4 linked regions of the Saccharomyces cerevisiae S288C genome follow. The gene in region 1 interacts genetically with each later gene. Each region holds a gene or a part of one and is shown on either strand. Other genes may lie near its edges.

The links.
Region 2: mutations in VRG4 (region 1) and AGE1 together harm fitness more than expected from each alone (negative genetic interaction), as found in Saccharomyces cerevisiae (one large-scale study listed by BioGRID).
Region 3: mutations in VRG4 (region 1) and TOS1 together harm fitness more than expected from each alone (negative genetic interaction), as found in Saccharomyces cerevisiae (one large-scale study listed by BioGRID).
Region 4: mutations in VRG4 (region 1) and SYT1 together harm fitness less than expected from each alone (positive genetic interaction), as found in Saccharomyces cerevisiae (one large-scale study listed by BioGRID).

Annotation. Positions count from the first base shown.
Region 1 is NC_001139.9:75,167-78,544, forward strand, and holds VRG4 (GDP-mannose transporter), read left to right. Parts: upstream 1-1,727; coding exon 1,728-2,741; downstream 2,742-3,378. Other genes in the region: SDT1 (nucleotidase), read right to left, coding at 2,849-3,378. UniProt on the Saccharomyces cerevisiae protein: Involved in the import of GDP-mannose from the cytoplasm into the Golgi lumen. Defective copy causes severe glycosylation defect and abnormal retention of soluble endoplasmic reticulum proteins. Involved in vanadate sensitivity.
Region 2 is NC_001136.10:1,486,900-1,490,762, reverse strand, and holds AGE1 (GTPase-activating protein AGE1), read left to right. Parts: upstream 1-1,772; coding exon 1,773-3,221; downstream 3,222-3,863. Other genes in the region: SNA2 (Sna2p), read right to left, coding at 1-167; API2 (Api2p), read right to left, coding at 529-858; YDR524C-B (uncharacterized protein), read left to right, coding at 965-1,165; YDR524W-C (uncharacterized protein), read right to left, coding at 1,271-1,360; putative serine/threonine protein kinase SPS1, read left to right, coding at 3,725-3,863. UniProt on the Saccharomyces cerevisiae protein: GTPase-activating protein (GAP) for the ADP ribosylation factors ARF1 and ARF2. May be involved in the endocytic pathway.
Region 3 is NC_001134.8:562,563-566,164, reverse strand, and holds TOS1 (Tos1p), read left to right. Parts: upstream 1-1,594; coding exon 1,595-2,962; downstream 2,963-3,602. Other genes in the region: EXO5 (Exo5p), read right to left, coding at 1-442; YSY6 (Ysy6p), read right to left, coding at 737-934; mannosylinositol phosphorylceramide synthase catalytic subunit CSH1, read right to left, coding at 3,401-3,602. UniProt on the Saccharomyces cerevisiae protein: Probable circularly permuted 1,3-beta-glucanase involved in cell wall modification through beta-1,3-glucan network alterations such as increased branching or remodeling.
Region 4 is NC_001148.4:720,537-726,459, reverse strand, and holds SYT1 (Arf family guanine nucleotide exchange factor SYT1), read left to right. Parts: upstream 1-1,742; coding exon 1,743-5,423; downstream 5,424-5,923. Other genes in the region: LEC1 (Lec1p), read right to left, coding at 1-1,066; YPR096C (uncharacterized protein), read left to right, coding at 1,316-1,618; U2 snRNP complex subunit RDS3, read right to left, coding at 5,500-5,823. UniProt on the Saccharomyces cerevisiae protein: Guanine nucleotide exchange factor for Arf GTPases, stimulating the nucleotide exchange from the GDP-bound to the GTP-bound form. Catalyzes both the GDP release by and the GTP binding to ARF2. Has no exchange activity on Rab GTPases.

The sequences.
Region 1 (3,378 bases):
TATGTACGTGAGGTGTAAATTATGGCTCTCATAGGACATAAGTAGGACAGAAATTGAAATTTTTGTGTTGGCAGAGCGAAAGAAACTTGAATTCGTTTATGAGGAATAAATTCTCAGCTCCATCCATGGTTCCAGTTGACGCTATGATACGCAAATTCCTTTGTGATACAGGTATCATTTCTGCAATTCCTCGTAGATTGTTGATCATACCATAAGATTGATGCTGGGGAAAGTGGAGAAGCTAACTTAACGATTGAGGCCTTGGCAAACCCTGTTAAACCAGTACTATCGGCCTTAACATGCGACTTAGAGAGAGAGAGAGAGAGAGATGTTTGCGTTTGCGTCATGATAGAGATGCTACATCCACATAGTTGTTGTAGACATGTTTAAAGGTACAATTCTGCAACAACGCCTTGAAATTTTCCAAAACTAACCAAGCACATTGGAGTTACGCTTATATAGTAAGCCACTTCACTTGCGTTGCTGTAAAGGTTGATAACTACAGGTAGGAATTAATGAATGTTAAATAAAAAAGGGAAATACCATCATCTCGACAAGAAAGGCAAAATAACTTTTCAATCTCACCAAGACGCGCGAACGAAACTCGTGCGTCTATATTAGTATCTTGACGGCGCTTTTACATCATTAAAGGTGTAATAAAACTGAAGTCATGCGATGGCACTGAAATAATCAAAGTAACTATTTGTGATGGCATGCACTGTGATATGATCTCAAGGAAAAAAATGCAATGTCGGGCGCCAATACTTATGATCATGCTTAGTCTCGACATTGACCTTGCTTGCTACAGTAATCTGGTGTCCGAGTAGTGACATCTAGGTACCGGTGAGAACTATATCTTCATTACTACACTTGTCGCCCCTGAATATTATCGCTACACACGCGAAAGAGCTCTTGTTAAAGTTACTCTCGCATCATTGCGGTACATGTTTTGCATATTCATCTGAAGTAGGAAAGGGTATAAGCAGTATATGATGTACCATCTGCATAAGCGGTGTTTAATGCGTACCTATCGTTTAAGAACAAAAGGAACACACCCACACCCGCTCCAATACCATATTGAGAGAATAATGAGGTAACATATGCTTCTATTTGGTTCGATAAGACGGCTACTAGTCCAAAAAAAGTCAAACAACAATTTCAACAGCTACATTCTGAAGATAGAACGCATTTTTGCCTGAATATTGCAACTCAATAGACATTCTAAAGTGCTACGAGAAAAAAGCTTGTAATGGACCATGGCAATGTGCGCCATATATATATGCGGCTCCCTTATGAGTAGAAGAAAATATATGACTGGTGGTACAAAGTGGCATGGTGGTATATAGATGTAGGAACACCATTTGAGTTTGCCATAATGATTAAATTTCCCTTTTTATAAAGAATTAGCCGCCCATAACACGAAAAATATCACAGTTGACGAAAGAAGACACGTCGCCTAAACGCGTAATGAATCGCAATATACGAAAAGCTAAACGGGTTTTTCAGAATCCTCTTACCCAGCCTTGGATAATAGTTTTGGCCGAAAAAAAAAAAAAGAAAGAAAAAAATTGAAATTTCGCGATCCGAACAAACAATGAACAGAAAAACAGAATATATATAACGCTGCCAAGCCTATTTCTTGTTGCCGATTAATTGTTGACATCCTCTTAATTACCAAAAGAGCCTAAGAAAACAAACACACTAACCACACAGTATCTTTCGCCCGAATGTCTGAATTGAAAACAGGTCATGCAGGCCATAACCCTTGGGCTTCAGTTGCCAATTCCGGTCCGATCTCTATTTTATCCTACTGTGGTTCCTCTATTTTAATGACGGTGACTAACAAGTTCGTCGTCAATTTGAAGGATTTCAACATGAACTTTGTCATGCTTTTCGTGCAATCTTTGGTTTGTACTATAACCTTGATTATCCTACGTATACTGGGCTATGCGAAGTTCCGTTCATTAAACAAAACAGACGCCAAGAACTGGTTCCCTATTTCCTTTTTACTGGTCTTGATGATCTACACCTCTTCGAAGGCTTTACAATACTTGGCTGTTCCAATTTACACCATTTTCAAGAATTTGACTATTATCTTGATTGCTTATGGTGAGGTTCTCTTTTTTGGTGGCTCTGTCACCTCCATGGAATTGTCATCATTTTTGTTGATGGTCCTTTCTTCTGTCGTTGCAACTTGGGGTGACCAGCAAGCTGTGGCTGCCAAGGCTGCTTCATTGGCTGAAGGAGCAGCCGGTGCTGTTGCCTCCTTTAACCCAGGTTATTTCTGGATGTTCACCAACTGTATCACTTCTGCATTATTCGTTCTTATAATGAGAAAGAGAATTAAGTTAACTAACTTCAAGGATTTCGACACTATGTTTTACAACAATGTTTTGGCTCTACCTATTCTATTGCTGTTTTCTTTCTGTGTGGAAGATTGGTCTTCAGTTAATTTGACCAATAACTTTTCTAACGATTCGCTAACTGCTATGATCATCAGTGGTGTTGCATCCGTCGGTATTTCTTACTGTTCCGGTTGGTGTGTTCGTGTTACTTCGTCTACTACATATTCGATGGTAGGGGCTTTGAACAAGCTGCCAATTGCCTTGTCTGGTTTGATTTTCTTTGATGCTCCAAGAAACTTCTTATCTATTCTCTCCATTTTTATTGGTTTCCTATCAGGTATTATTTATGCTGTTGCCAAACAAAAGAAGCAACAAGCCCAACCTTTACGTAAATGAGAACTTACGGGGGGTGCAATTTATTTTTTTTTTTTGGTTTATTTTATTTTATAGAGGCATCTAATGCAAGTAGATTTATATACAATTATACTTAAAATTGATATACCTTAGAACAGGTCGGACACAACGTGTGGTAACTCCAATATATCACTAATGACAATAGCGCCTTCTGGTGTTTGCCCCAAAATTTCATTTACTTCATTCTCAACTAAATGAATACATGTTTTCATGCCCAATTTGATACCTGTCTCGATGTTTTTCCCACTGTCATCTATAAAATAAGCATTCTCGTATCTTGCCAACCCGCTTTCCTTCATGGCTTTTTCAAATGCTTTAACATGTGGTTTGCAGACCAGCGTATCTGTCCTAGAGTAGTCACAATATGTCAATCCATCAAATAAATCCGCTATACCCAACAATCTCAGGCAACGTATTGCGTGGTTTTTATAAGCGTTGGTGAAAAGCCACAATTTATCAATCTTTCCCGATTGTCTCAATCTCAACAGCATATTCCTTAATGGTATATCAGGTTTCAAGATATCTTGTAGTGGTAAGGAATCATCCACAAGCCGGTTATATTCCAGTGCGTTCACTTTGTGGAACATTACAAGTCCCCTTATGGCAAGTCCATACTCTT
Region 2 (3,863 bases), on another chromosome or scaffold:
TGACAGCTGATCACGTACAAAGCATGGATCAGACCAGGGAAAAACCCTAGTAAAAATAACAGAAAGTTAATGAGCAGATCCTTGGTAAAAAAACCTCTTTTTAGCCAGACTGCTAAGGGAGGAATGAAAATTGCAATAAAAACTAAAAACCAGTCGCGGGCGTGCATAGTGTAATTCTAAAGTTGTATGTTCTCTAATACGATGACTGGTACTTGCAAAATGCTTATTCGAGGACTAACTAAGATCGATCAGTAAAGATCTCTTGTCAATCAAACCTTTCTCGCACAATAGGAGACAGGAAAAGGGGAAAGAAAGTCGAAAAAGTGCGGGTTCCGGTACATGGATTATATCGCCCCGGGACAATGCGCGTTGCCCCTCACCGGCCCGGAATATACGCGTGGTTGCGCTCTTTCGTTACCCGCGACTGTTTTGGCGCCCCATTCATGCTACGCGGATCTGGACCTGCTTATTTCCCGAGAATACGTCCCGAAAAAGTAATGCAGTTTCCGAAATGGGCGCGGTAAGGGCCTAGGCCCAACGTTGGGCCTTTTTCAGTTCCAAAAAAACGACTCGTTGGGAGCCGTGCGGTCCCGTCTTCGGGCGTGATTGGCCGCTTTGGCCGCTTCTGGGCGTAGGACGCCAAAGTTTATTTCCAAAATAGCGAAGACCAGAGCCACGCCTTTTCTTTTTGCAAGCGGAATATCCGCTTGAGAAATGAGAAAAAGAAAGCAGAAAAAAAATCATCGCTTTTTTCACGTTTGTTACATGAGATATGGTGCTGTGTGTCATCGCGGTGGTTTTCCTGGCTTTTCTCCTCATATATAAGGAACTCGAGAAATTCTTGATTTTCTTTTCCATCTTCTCCTACTGTATTATTTACTTTATTAGTTAATATTGTTTTTGATTTTAGAGGAAAATCATCATTAAACATAAGTTTCAATCAACACTAATCATCAACAAAACAATGCAATTCAAGACCATCGTCGCTGCCTTCGCTACTGTTGCCGCTGTCCAAGCTGCTAACGTTTCTACCAATGGTTCCAACCGTACCAACGGTTCCAACACCACCAGCACCAAGATCTCCACTGGTGCTGCTGCTTCCAACGCTTTGGGTGCTGGTGTCTTCGGTGCTGCCGTCGCTGCCGGTGTCGCTTTCTTATTCTAAGTTCTTTAATTTTGAGTTTAGAGACATTATACTCCTATAATATCGAAAAAATTTTTTTATTATCGCTACACAATCAAGTTTTTATGTGCTTTTTTAATAATATTATTATAGAACAAGAAGAAAGACCGCTCTTTCCTTGAAGGGACCAAAGAAGGAAAAAAAATATGTTGGAAGGGTTTTATATGATCTTTTCATGTTCGTTCACTTGTAATGGAATATTAGTTAGAAGATGTAAATAACTTATCTGTTTATTTTTATTTCCTCTCTATAATTATTACCTGTATTAATTCATTATCTAATATAAAATCTAATCTAATAATAGAATTTTCTGATGTTTATCTTTTTTTTTGTCGTATTCTCGGCGAATTAATCGCGGAAAATTTCATATCGAATTTTAAAGGAATGTCATTTTGAACGCTAAAGTATTATTTATTCTCGTCCGATGTTGGTTTTTTTTCCTATCGCTGTCGTTATAATAGTACTTGACGAAGAGAGAAGAAAAGTAAAAATTTGAGCGAAAAAGAGGATAAAAATCACATTGAGGCAGAGTGGTTAAGGTAGCTGTACCAGTCATTTTGAATACATTTTTCTGGATGTTCCATCAATAATGGATTTTTATACTACTGATATCAACAAAAATGTTGTGCCTTTGTTCAGTAAAGGAACAGTAGCAAGAACAGCATCAAAAGCACAGTATCCATCATGGTGCAACAACGCGTTAAAGTTAACTAATATTCTTCTTAAATCTCTTCGATGTAAATTTCAAACGAACCGCTGCGAGGATGATCGAGGTTTTGAGGTATATTGTGTTATTTTAAAAAGCATCGCTTTATTAATGGCCGCGAAAGAATCATTGATATTACTACAAATACCTCCTTCTTTACCATCAGGATTTCCATTTCGTTCACCCCAACTGTCATTTACATATTTATCAACCCGTCTTAGTGGGAGCCAACACAAATCTACGCATTCTCATCACATCAATCATCAAACTCATCCCATTCATAGTAGCAGTAGCAACAGTAATAGTAATAACCGTATTCCTACAAAAACAGATTCCTCCAAACAGCATACACAGCATTTCTCTTTTGCTAATGCGGGAGCCTCCAATAGAGACGAACTGCTATCAATCGTGCGCAAAATTGATAAATCTAATTTGAAGTGTTGTGACTGCGGTAGCACCGCAACAGTAGAATGGGTGTCAATCAATTTATTGTGTATATTGTGTATCAAATGTTCGGGCGTTCATCGATCTCTGGGTTCACATATCTCCAAAATTAGATCTTTAACGCTGGATAATTTCACCTCGTTAGAGTTGATGCATCTTTTACAAAATAATGTTTCCAATAGTAATGTTAATGCCATTTATGAAAGCAATCTCAGGAACTTTCCAGTTAAAAAAATAACTGCAAATTCTGATGACTCGGAAAGATCCAAATTCATTATTGATAAGTATCAATTTAAAAAGTTTGTTATCGACAGCAACCAAGGCAGAGAGGCTTCTTTGAAGTCTTTAATTAAAGCTATCCATTTAGATAGTGTTTTCATGATGCAAAGAGCCATCGCCCAAAGTAAATATTCCCTAAGAGAATTGACGGCAAGCGAAAAAGAGCAGAATGATCTAAACCATTCTTCCATTTTTCAATATTCCCTAAAGCACTATGAAATTGTTGATGGAACGCCCATTTTTTTTATTACAGAATTTTTATTGTGCAATGGTATTCATATAGATAATTTACCGAAGATTACTACGAATTGGTCTCCAAAGGTTTTAGAATATTGGGAAACTAAGTTGGAGATGTACGGAACATTCCAAGCTGTAAATACTTCTCGTCCAAGATCAGGGCCGCATTTAAATATGCATTCAAATGTAGATTCAGCTTCGTCCTACAATAAGAAACACGATTTGAGAGTTAACATACCTGAAAGAAGTGCCTCAGCAAGTAAAAGGTGGAGTTTGAGCTCCATTCCTAAGTCTTCTCAAAATTTGATGTCCCCAACAAACTTATTAACAATGCATAAGTCTTTAAAATTGGCCAAAAAGGACAAAAAATAACATATATGATAATTTAACTGTATTTTTTTCCCTTTTCTAATACTTTTTCCTCAAGTTATATTTCGGAGCTGTCCCAGGTTCGGAACAATGCGGCATCAGGGATAAAAAAAAATGACACATAAAAACGAAAAAGACACAAATTCCATTTTTTTTTTTTGACGCGAAAGAATGACACTACTTTCTTCTATTGTAACCATTTCTAACATCGATATTTTACTTGTTAGTTCAGATATATACTAAAGAGTCACTTAATATACTGTTTTTGTTTATTATCTTGGTTCCAACTGCTTCATTTAATATTTCCTATCCAAAAAAAGCCAGCTAATTCTCTTCTTTTTTTTTCTTATTTTGCCATTTTCAATATTATCGATTTAGTGAACACCTGGCTAGTCAGTTGTCTTAGCAAACATTTCTCAAAAGAAAGCAAACCAGCATTTGCTTTTTAAATTTAGTTTTTTTACTAGCTAATTCATTTACTAAACAACAAAAGAAAATAGCACAAAATGGAAAGCAAAGAAATATCAATTAGGTCAAGAACCCCTCCATCGAAGCTATATTCCATCCAATCATGTATTGGCAGAGGTAACTTTGGTGATGTGTATAAAGCAGTGGATAGAGTTACGCAAGAAATTGTGGCAATTA
Region 3 (3,602 bases), on another chromosome or scaffold:
CGTAAAAATTCCTTAACTCGCACCAATTCTGCGTAGTGCATAATTGTGTGACGGATAATCGTTTTTTCTTTAGCTGATTTACTTGAATGTCAAAATAGGGATTCTCTAAACCTCTGGGGAATCTGTAATTGATAAACGAAGGATTTTCAGGGTCTTCTCCAAATAATTCTTTAACGCTGGCCAATTTTTCGCTCAACAATGCTCCTTCCTTAGTATTTGTCTCTTTTGTCGGACTGGTGTTATCGAAAAATGGCAAATTATTGATTCTATCGATATCCGAGGCATTCAGGATACCGCTTGGATCATTAGTTGGAACATCATACATATGATTTTTCTTCGAAGGTAGTATAAATGTTCCATCAAGGGACTTATCGTTTAAATGTACAAATCTCCTAGGATGAATTAAAAATCCATACTTGTTGATTAGTGCCCGGCCCAGCATACGATAAGTACAGAAGAAAAGCAGAAAGCCTACTTGAAAAATTAAGAAAACAAAGACAGTCTACAAAGCTTTTCTGTGTACTATGCCTGGGTCCCCCCTCATACTCATCTTTGTTGCACGTTTGATTGGCATGGTAAATCACAATAGCACTTGAATTACTTCATCTTTTTTCGCATCCATAAATGACAACGCGGGTAATACTGCCTTATGCTTGTTGTTATTATTATTCGAAATCGCTTATTTATTTACGTACTTGCTTCCACTGTACACTTATATATGCAATTTGCCACTGCTTCATAGGATATAGCTGATTAGTTGCAAAACACCACCACCTACGAGAAGAAACAGAAGAATACCCAACCAAGTTTTGGATATCACAGGTGCGGTTTTCTCAGTTTTGCCCTCCTTCTTCTTACCGTATTTTCTATACTTTTCGTTATTCTTGTTAAACTTGGCATTAGCCAGTCTTTGTCTTGGTGTCTGTACGGCCATCGCAGGTGTTGTCCTCTATCTACTTCGACCTCTGCACCCTGCTATTTCTGCATGTAATGCTGTGCTGAAATTATATTTGATATAACGCAAGTAAGCGCAGATGGCGACAAGAAAAAAAGCCACGTCAAGTCATTAGACACGATATCACATACCACGAGATCTGCGCCTCGCTTTTTCTTTTCTTTTCGCGTTGGCGACTTTCCTTTTTCGTTGGCGATTTAGTGCTGGTTTTGTTTATTTTTCCACGCTTTTTCGTCGTACAGCAAACGTGAAAATTCGAAACTTGGGATTTTCATTTAAATATACCACGAATGCAGATGTGATTCATCACAAACGTTCCTGTCTTGGCAATATAGAAAATTTTCTTGCTTAGCCTTGTTTCACTTCCATTATTTTCAGATTTGTTTTAATTTTATTTTCGCATCTCTACTTTTTATATCTCTCGAACTTTGCTAGTTAAACTTCTTATCTCCATTCAATTTTTTTTTATATTATAATTATTTCTTTTCTCGCAAGAAGACTCCAGAATCAAAACTCAAACCAACCTAACTTATCCAACTTCTAGTCACTCCTTCAATAGAACGTCTTTTTCTCACCTTTTCGTTTTTCCATTTACACCCCATAAAATATCTAAAACCTAACGGAATTTGAACGAAAAAAATGTTACAAAAGCTTTCCATGACCGCATTAGTCGGTTTGTTTTCTTCAGTTGTGTCACTCGTGAACGCTGATTGTACTTACTCTGGCGGTAATTACTATTGTGCTCAAACCGATGCCATCATTTACTCTAACGTCGGTTTATCTGCTACCTACCAAGATGTCACCAATATGGATGAATCTTCTTGTGCTTGTACCCAAGCTGATTTCACTGCTTCTGGTAGCTTGGCTCCCTTCAACGAGGAACTATCTGTTCATTTCAGGGGTCCGATCGAGTTACTACAATTTGGTGTTTACTACCCAAATGGTGAATCTAATGCTTTGAAGAAAAGATCAGAGAAACAATCAATCGAGTCCTGTAAGGAAGGTGAAGCTGTTGTCTCCAGACATAAGCATCAGCACAAGAGGGATGTTGCTGTTGAATATGTTCAAGTTACTTCCACTGTTTACGTCGACAGTAATGGTCAAACAGTCACAGCCGATTCCACCAATACCGTTGTCGGTCCTGCTGTTCCTTCTTCTTACACTAAAGACTCTACTGTTTTGTCCAGCAGTGCTCAAGCAGTTGAAACGAGTGAAAGCCAGTCTTCCATCTCTTCCTCTAAAACCACCTCTTCTGCTGCTGCTGCTTCATCATCTTCGTCATCATCTTCTAACACTAACGGTGACTGGTCCAGAGGTTCCTACTTTGTCCCAGGCTCTACTAGCAACTGTACATTCATGAACAACCAAGGGGGGACTGCCGGTTCTGGTGTCTGGTCGAGTTGTTTCGGTAACTCCATCTCTTTTGCTGCTTCAGATGGTGTTTCTGGTGCTGCCTCCGCTCAAGCTCTTGGTGATGTCACCATTAAATCTGGTAATGAATTCATGATTTTCTCCGGTGAAGAATGTTCCGGTAATAACGGCGATTGTGGTTATTACAGAGAAGGCATTCCTGCTTATCATGGGTTTGGTGGGGCTGATAAAATTTTCGTCTTCGAATTTTCTATGCCAAGTGACACCAGCGGTTCTGCCTACAATCAAGATATGCCAGCTATTTGGTTATTAAATGCAAAAATCCCAAGAACCTTGCAATATGGTGATGCATCTTGTTCTTGTTGGAAAACTGGCTGTGGTGAAATGGATTTGTTCGAAATTTTGACCGCTGGTTCTGATAAATTAATCTCACACATCCATGACGGCCAAGATGGTGGTACTCAAGATTACTTCGAGAGACCAACTGATGGTACTTTAAAGGCTGCCGTAATCTTTAATTCAAGTGATAAAACTATTCACATTATCGAAGTCGACGAAAGCTTTGATGCTACTTTAAGCGATGATGTCGTTGACCAATGGTTGAGCAAGTCCGGTTCTTCTGCGGCCTTGCCATAGTCGATCGTTTCTTATTAACCAATAAAATTTTCCTTTTTTTCATTTATGTTTCACTTGCTATTTTTTTCCTTCCCCGTTATTATTTTTGTTTTAGGGTTTCTGTCCACTTTGAACAGATTGTGTTATTTTCCAAGAACAATACATTATTGTAAAAAAAAAAAAAAAAAAAAACTAAACTAAAAAAAAAAAATTCACTCTTAAAGTTTAGAGTTATGTTCTCTATCTATCTTTATCTTTATTATATACTATTAAAAACCAAGCTTCTGGACATTGTACTATTTTATAATCGAATTTTTTTCTCTTTAATTTTTATAGGAATGCATGTTACTTGTAATTCTTAAATACTAAGATTTAATACCTGTTATATATCTATACGCCATTGTTTTTGAGATTTATCCATGCTCACAATATTATAGGGGTAGAACAGTGGCAATTCAATCAGGTTAAGTCGGTAAATTTTGCGTGATTCTTTTCTATATCAAGGAAAACGCTGTCGTAGGGGATATTAGAATCTTTTCTTAATCTCTTACCCCTCGAATTATATTCGTGACGAGTAGGATTCCGCCTCTTTTCCTTATTCTTGTAAGACGATGTTAGTTTCCACTTGTGTAACTTGAACTTGTCACTCAACCACTGAATG
Region 4 (5,923 bases), on another chromosome or scaffold:
TTCTATGAGGTAAGCGCGGACATTTCTTCCCCGGAAATTCTGATTTTAAATCATGAGATAGTTTTTTGAAGTCGCTGTATGTTCTTGTCACATAGAAATAACCAGCATGGTGATCAAGATTACTATTCTCTTCATTGCTGTTATCTTGGTCGTCGTCATCTTGCTTCTTAATCTTAATCAAGAAATAATGATGTTTTCTAGATTGCTTGCTCTTAGTTGAAGGCACGCCAAGGGATAATTTCGAAAATAAAGATGCTGAGGATTCGGGCATACTATTTATGGTACTGTTAATAGTGTTGTTGAAGGCATTCTTCATCCATTTAGAAGTGGAAGCAAATGATTTTATAGCATGGCTTTTGGGACTCGAAGTTGGAGTAGATTTACTAGACTTGTCATTATCCACACTTTCAGTACATTTCCGTGAATTCTTATTGAACACGGATATAATATTGACGTCCCAACCGTTAATAAAAACGGATTCGTTAGTGAGCAAATTCTCTAAATTTTCTCTAGTTGGCATTGCAAATTTCTCAATATTAGAGCGTTTTCTCGCTTGGCCTGACTGTAAAACGAATTTATCCTCATTATAATACGCTTGCTCTTGAAAAGAGCCAACACCGGAGTTAAAGAGCAACAAGATAACCTTTGATAGCTTTTTGGAAACTTTCTTCCTTTTTGAAGCTTCCTCCCTGTCATAACTTTCACTAAACCCAAGACTCATGAAATGTTCAAAGAACACTTGAACCTTACTCTGCCAGAATTTTTCATCAACTAGCAAATTTGTTGAAAGTAAAGGAAATGTGGATATAAATTCTTGCAAAACATAACTCAGCATGGGATAATTAACGCTAAAATGGCCTTTGCCACCGAGCACTGGTGATGAATCGTTATTGGAGATAGGCTGTGGAGCTGTCGGATCGTTTGGTGAGAAAGGATAACCGAACTTTCTCAAAGCAAACTGATCGTTAAGCTTTCCAATTTCATAATCCAATTGACATCGAAGCAGTTCCCTCTTCAGGTAGTGTTCTTCCGTTGGATTTAAAGCAGGAGTGTCTTGAGTAATCATTTGAAGACTGTCTATTTTTGATTCTTTAGTACAATTATCTTCAACCACTGATTTCAGTACACAATTCCGACCACAAGGTAAGGTTCGTTTTTCTTTTTTTATAGAGCCCAATGCACAGTAATTGGATGTAGCTCTTAAAAAAGAATGAAAGCTAGAAAGTGATCAATTATTCGAAAAACACTTTAATACGTTCCTTGTTCACGCCTAAAAAGTTAACTGTCAAATGGTTAACGTACATTTATCTGTCTTATGAGAGGCGAAACAGGCGTAAGCATTAAAAACCCAAGGCCATCTCGTCCTTTTTCTTGTTTTTGGCGTAAAGGAGATGTTGAAAATATTAGGAAAAGTGATATAGGGAACGAAAAGAAAATAGACGCTAAGTTCAACAGGCTTCAGTATAATCTATATTACAAGCCTCTCTCGCACCACAAGGCCGGTTTATTGTACAAAGAACTCTTCTTCAGAAGCTGCTTCTCTTATACTACCTGCTCATTAGACTTTCAGGGTAAAAGGCACCAAGTGGAAAGAAAGGCAGTAGATATAGTACTTTGAATTCTTTTGACATCGCAAGGTTACTCGCATCCACTCCCTATTATTTACTCTGTTTCAACTCATTGTAACTTCATTTTCGCTAACTTCCCGCCAGACCAGCTCTTCAATCCACACTTGCCAGATAATGAATCAGTCTATTTCTTCGTTGATTAAGCTTAAATTCCTTCAATCACACAGTAACGATAAAAATGGCAACAAAAAGGGCGGAAGCAATGTTTCAACAGGCATAGATAAATTAAGAGAGTCGGAAAGTTATAGAAGTCCTTTTCTTCAACTCGCAGAAATACAGGAACACACTAATAATGACGACGATAAACTTGATGTAAAAGAATGCGAGCCCACAAAAAAACACAGCAAACTAAGCAGGATACGGCGTAAGATGGGTAGGTTAGACTTGAATTTCAGGTCAGCCAATGAAAAGGGTTCTGAAGATGATGAAATCTTGGTTGCACAACACCTCCGTAATGGACAAGATCCTGAAGAAATGCCTTTCAAATCAGAAAACAACATAGATTCGATAGAGAAAGTTCCCAAGCCCGATGGTGAGAGAGTCACGCTTACTAGCTCCGGGTCTGATAACGTAAAGAGAAATTCAAAACACGCCCCATTCATTCCTGTGAAACCTGCTCTAGAAAAATTTCCTTCTTCTAATAGATTGTCAAGAGATTACAGAAAATCACAAGAGCCTACCCTGTTTAACGGTGATAGATTAGTTCCTACTCTTCCTACTGTGAGTAGGATATCGACATCTTCTTCCGTCGGTTCCTCTACAGCGGCTTCAAGATATTTCAATCCGTCCAAAAGAGCTGTTGTTGCATCATCATCATCATCGTCGTCGTCAATAAAATTCAATTCGCTGCACGCAATACCACTTGATGCAACTCCTCAAATTGAATTGGCAAAACAACAAGATGAGATCTCCAAAAGGAGGTTCGGAAGAAGGCGCAGTAGAACTGTTGACGTATTTGACTATATTAACAAAAACAATACAGCAAAGAACAAACCGCCACTCTCTCCATCTTCTTTTATTAGGACTATTGACGAGAAAAATACAAATTCTCTTATGCAAGACCCCATGGGATCCCGCGGACCTCTTTTGCCCGATGATGCCAATATTATAAGCAATGATACAGATGGAGCGGAAGCAAGTCACCCAGACCATCAGGTTTTATCAAGGTCTCGATCTCAAAGTACGTCTTTTGTTCAAGGCAAGGGCGGCAAGAGAAAATCAATTGAAGATGAAGGCTACCATAACAAATTGGGCCTACCTCATGGATCAGGCCCTACTTCAGTTTACAACAATAAAAGCAATGCCAATTCAACTATTACTGGAATGTCAAGAAGAAGTAGCTCAATTGTGAATGCTTTAAGTAGTTTTGTTAACCTTCGCTCCTCCAGTTTATCATCCTCTAGGCAACAGCACCTTCAACAACAACAGCAGCTACAACAAAAACTGGATGTCTCGCTGGAAGATCTACCACCGGTTCCCGCGCCTGAATTTAGTGATTCTTGTAAGGACTTCTTGATTAAATTAGCGCCCTACGGAAAGTTCATTGGGATCATTTTAACGGAAAAAGATGATGAGTTCAAAAAAAATTGTTTAAACTACCTATTAACGAATTGCTTCGAATTTAAAAATGACCCTTTAGATATTGCCCTGAGGAAATTGTTGATGTTTTTAGAGCTTCCAAAGGAGACGCAGCAAATTGATAGATTGATAATGGCTTTTAGCTTTGCATACTATAAGGCCCAAAAGAGCTATTCTAAGAAAAAAGGAATTGAGTGCCCCTGGTCTAATGCAGACCAGGTGTATTTTATTGCATTTTCCTTACTAATGTTGCACACTGATTACTTTAACCCCAACAATAAAAGCAAAATGACAAAGCATGATTTCGTGGATTTAGTCCATAATGACAAATACTCAGGAGGTAATGAGATCCCTATGGCCGTTTTGACATATTTTTATGAGAATGTGACAGCCAAAGAGTCGCCGAAATTTAATTACTTTTTGATGTCACCAATGGCGTTGGACGATAGCATCCTTGATAAAGATGCATTTGACACAAATTTTGCTATCACATTATCTTCGAATTCGATGTATTCTCCCATAGACATGATAAAAAGGGGGAGTATAATACCCAAGGAAGCTTCCCTTTCCCCAATCTTTTATCCGCTAACGAATTCAATTAGTGCATCTGGTATTGCCCCATCTACGGCGGCTTCTTGCCCACCAAGTACGTCGGGTACTATAAACGGGGCCAACCTCGGAACGGCTAACAGTAATAGCAATAGACCGGCTTCTAACTCAATATCGTCTTATTTTTCATATAATCCAAGCTCTAGTTCTAGCGGAAATGCTACGTTAGTTCAAGATGACATTAACGTTTATTCGCACATTATAAATGATACATTAAATGAAGTAAATCTATTTCCAGAAGTCTCAAAATATTGGAATAAGAATGCTCTGAAGGCAAATTTGTTGAGAAATGAAGAACATAAATACGAAAAATATTATAGTATTATGAATGATACTAAAGGTGGGTATTTACGCTTTCACAAAAGTCAATTGAATAAACTGAATTTACCTAATTTTGAAATATTGAATGATAATAGCCGGTCTGGATGCAAGAACTCCGATTATAAGTATTGCAAAATCCTTCAAATGGGAGCAATAATGAATTTGGGGATGCCCAGTAGAAAATTTTCTATTGTTAACTCCGCTAAAATTCATTGGAAAAAGGAATTTGCCATATTAACATCATTGGGGCTTTTGATCTGCGATAAAATGGACTGGATAAATCCACAGATGATGAAGGACCCAAAATCAGGAACTACAAACTATATAATTGATTTTAAATCAGGATTTTCTTTTGTTCCGGGAAGTACGATTGACGTGTATAACGGTTTATTTGCTGATAGGGAGCGAGATTCACTTGGGAAATCTCATTTCGCAAGTTTGGTACTTGCGTATACAGAGCATCATTCTACTGGGAGTCATACAAGCAACACAACTGCAGCAAGTAGCTCCGCCAAACACAATGAAGGAGTCTTCGAGCCATCTTCAGATGAAGAGGATAGCATAACGAATTCTACTGATGGTACGAGCAGTGTGAGTAACGGCGAGAGTGACAACGATAGTGTTTCTAGTTCAGATAATCAACTCAGTTCAAATGACAGTAATGAAGATTATCATTCCATTAAGGACGAGTATCCGATTTTCGAAGACGAAAATGCCGATTGTCTATTATACTTACATACATGTCATCGAAATTTTATCTGGAAATGTGCTAATAAGTATGAAAGGGACAACTGGATCGATTCTATCAATCTATTTTCAGCATATGACGGATGCTATGTGGAAATTGGTAGTATAGCAAACACTATTTGTAATAAGAGAAAGCTTACCATTTTGCAGAGGATGGAAAGACTTAGGTCTATAAAATCAGCCAAATGGGAGAAATTGAAAAAATTTGAAAGCACTCTGATGCTTATGGGAAAATGTGTTCCTATTAGCACAAAGACTAAGACAGATATGATAAACCGCATAAGACAGCTGGCTGTCAGAATGGACTGGTTAATCTACGAAATTAAGAGAAGCGAGCTGTTTGTAAGTATCATAAAAGAAGTGACTCGCAAGCAGGCTGAAAAGAATATCTTAGAGCATGGTAAAGGAGAAGAGGAGGGGCAAGGCAATAACGACGATAGTGATGGTATAGATGATATAGAGGAAAGCTTCTTATTCAACGAGAACAGTTTGCAAGTGTGCGTGAGCGACAGTAGTTACGACGAATATAGTAACGAATAAGGGGAAGAAAATAGTACCATGGGTTATAAATGCATGTTATTTATTTATATATTTTTACATATTCTATATGTATGTGTTATACCTTTTTCTTTTTCTCGAAATGTCTATCCAGTCTATTGCTGCCAAGGTTTAAGATCCTAGGACAGCCATCTTTATCTTTACCTAAGCGGCAGCACTCCCAACAATAGAATGCGTCATTGACTCCAACATTTAGATTACAAATTATACAATTTTTAGCTTGTTTACCAAACGAACAGTTTTCACATACTCTAACTTTCCTTTTGGGCCTTACATAAGAGTCGCAGATAGGACATTTGCCATCACATTTTTCACAAAGAAGACCTGTCTGTACACCAGGCTGCTTTAGGCACATTATTAGATCAAACTGATGGCGGGACATGTTTTTTTTGTTGGAGGCTTGTATGTGTGTGGATCTTTTTTGTATCCATCTTCATTTTCTATGTTGAATGCCTTAGTAAGTGAGAAATATGGCAAGTAAT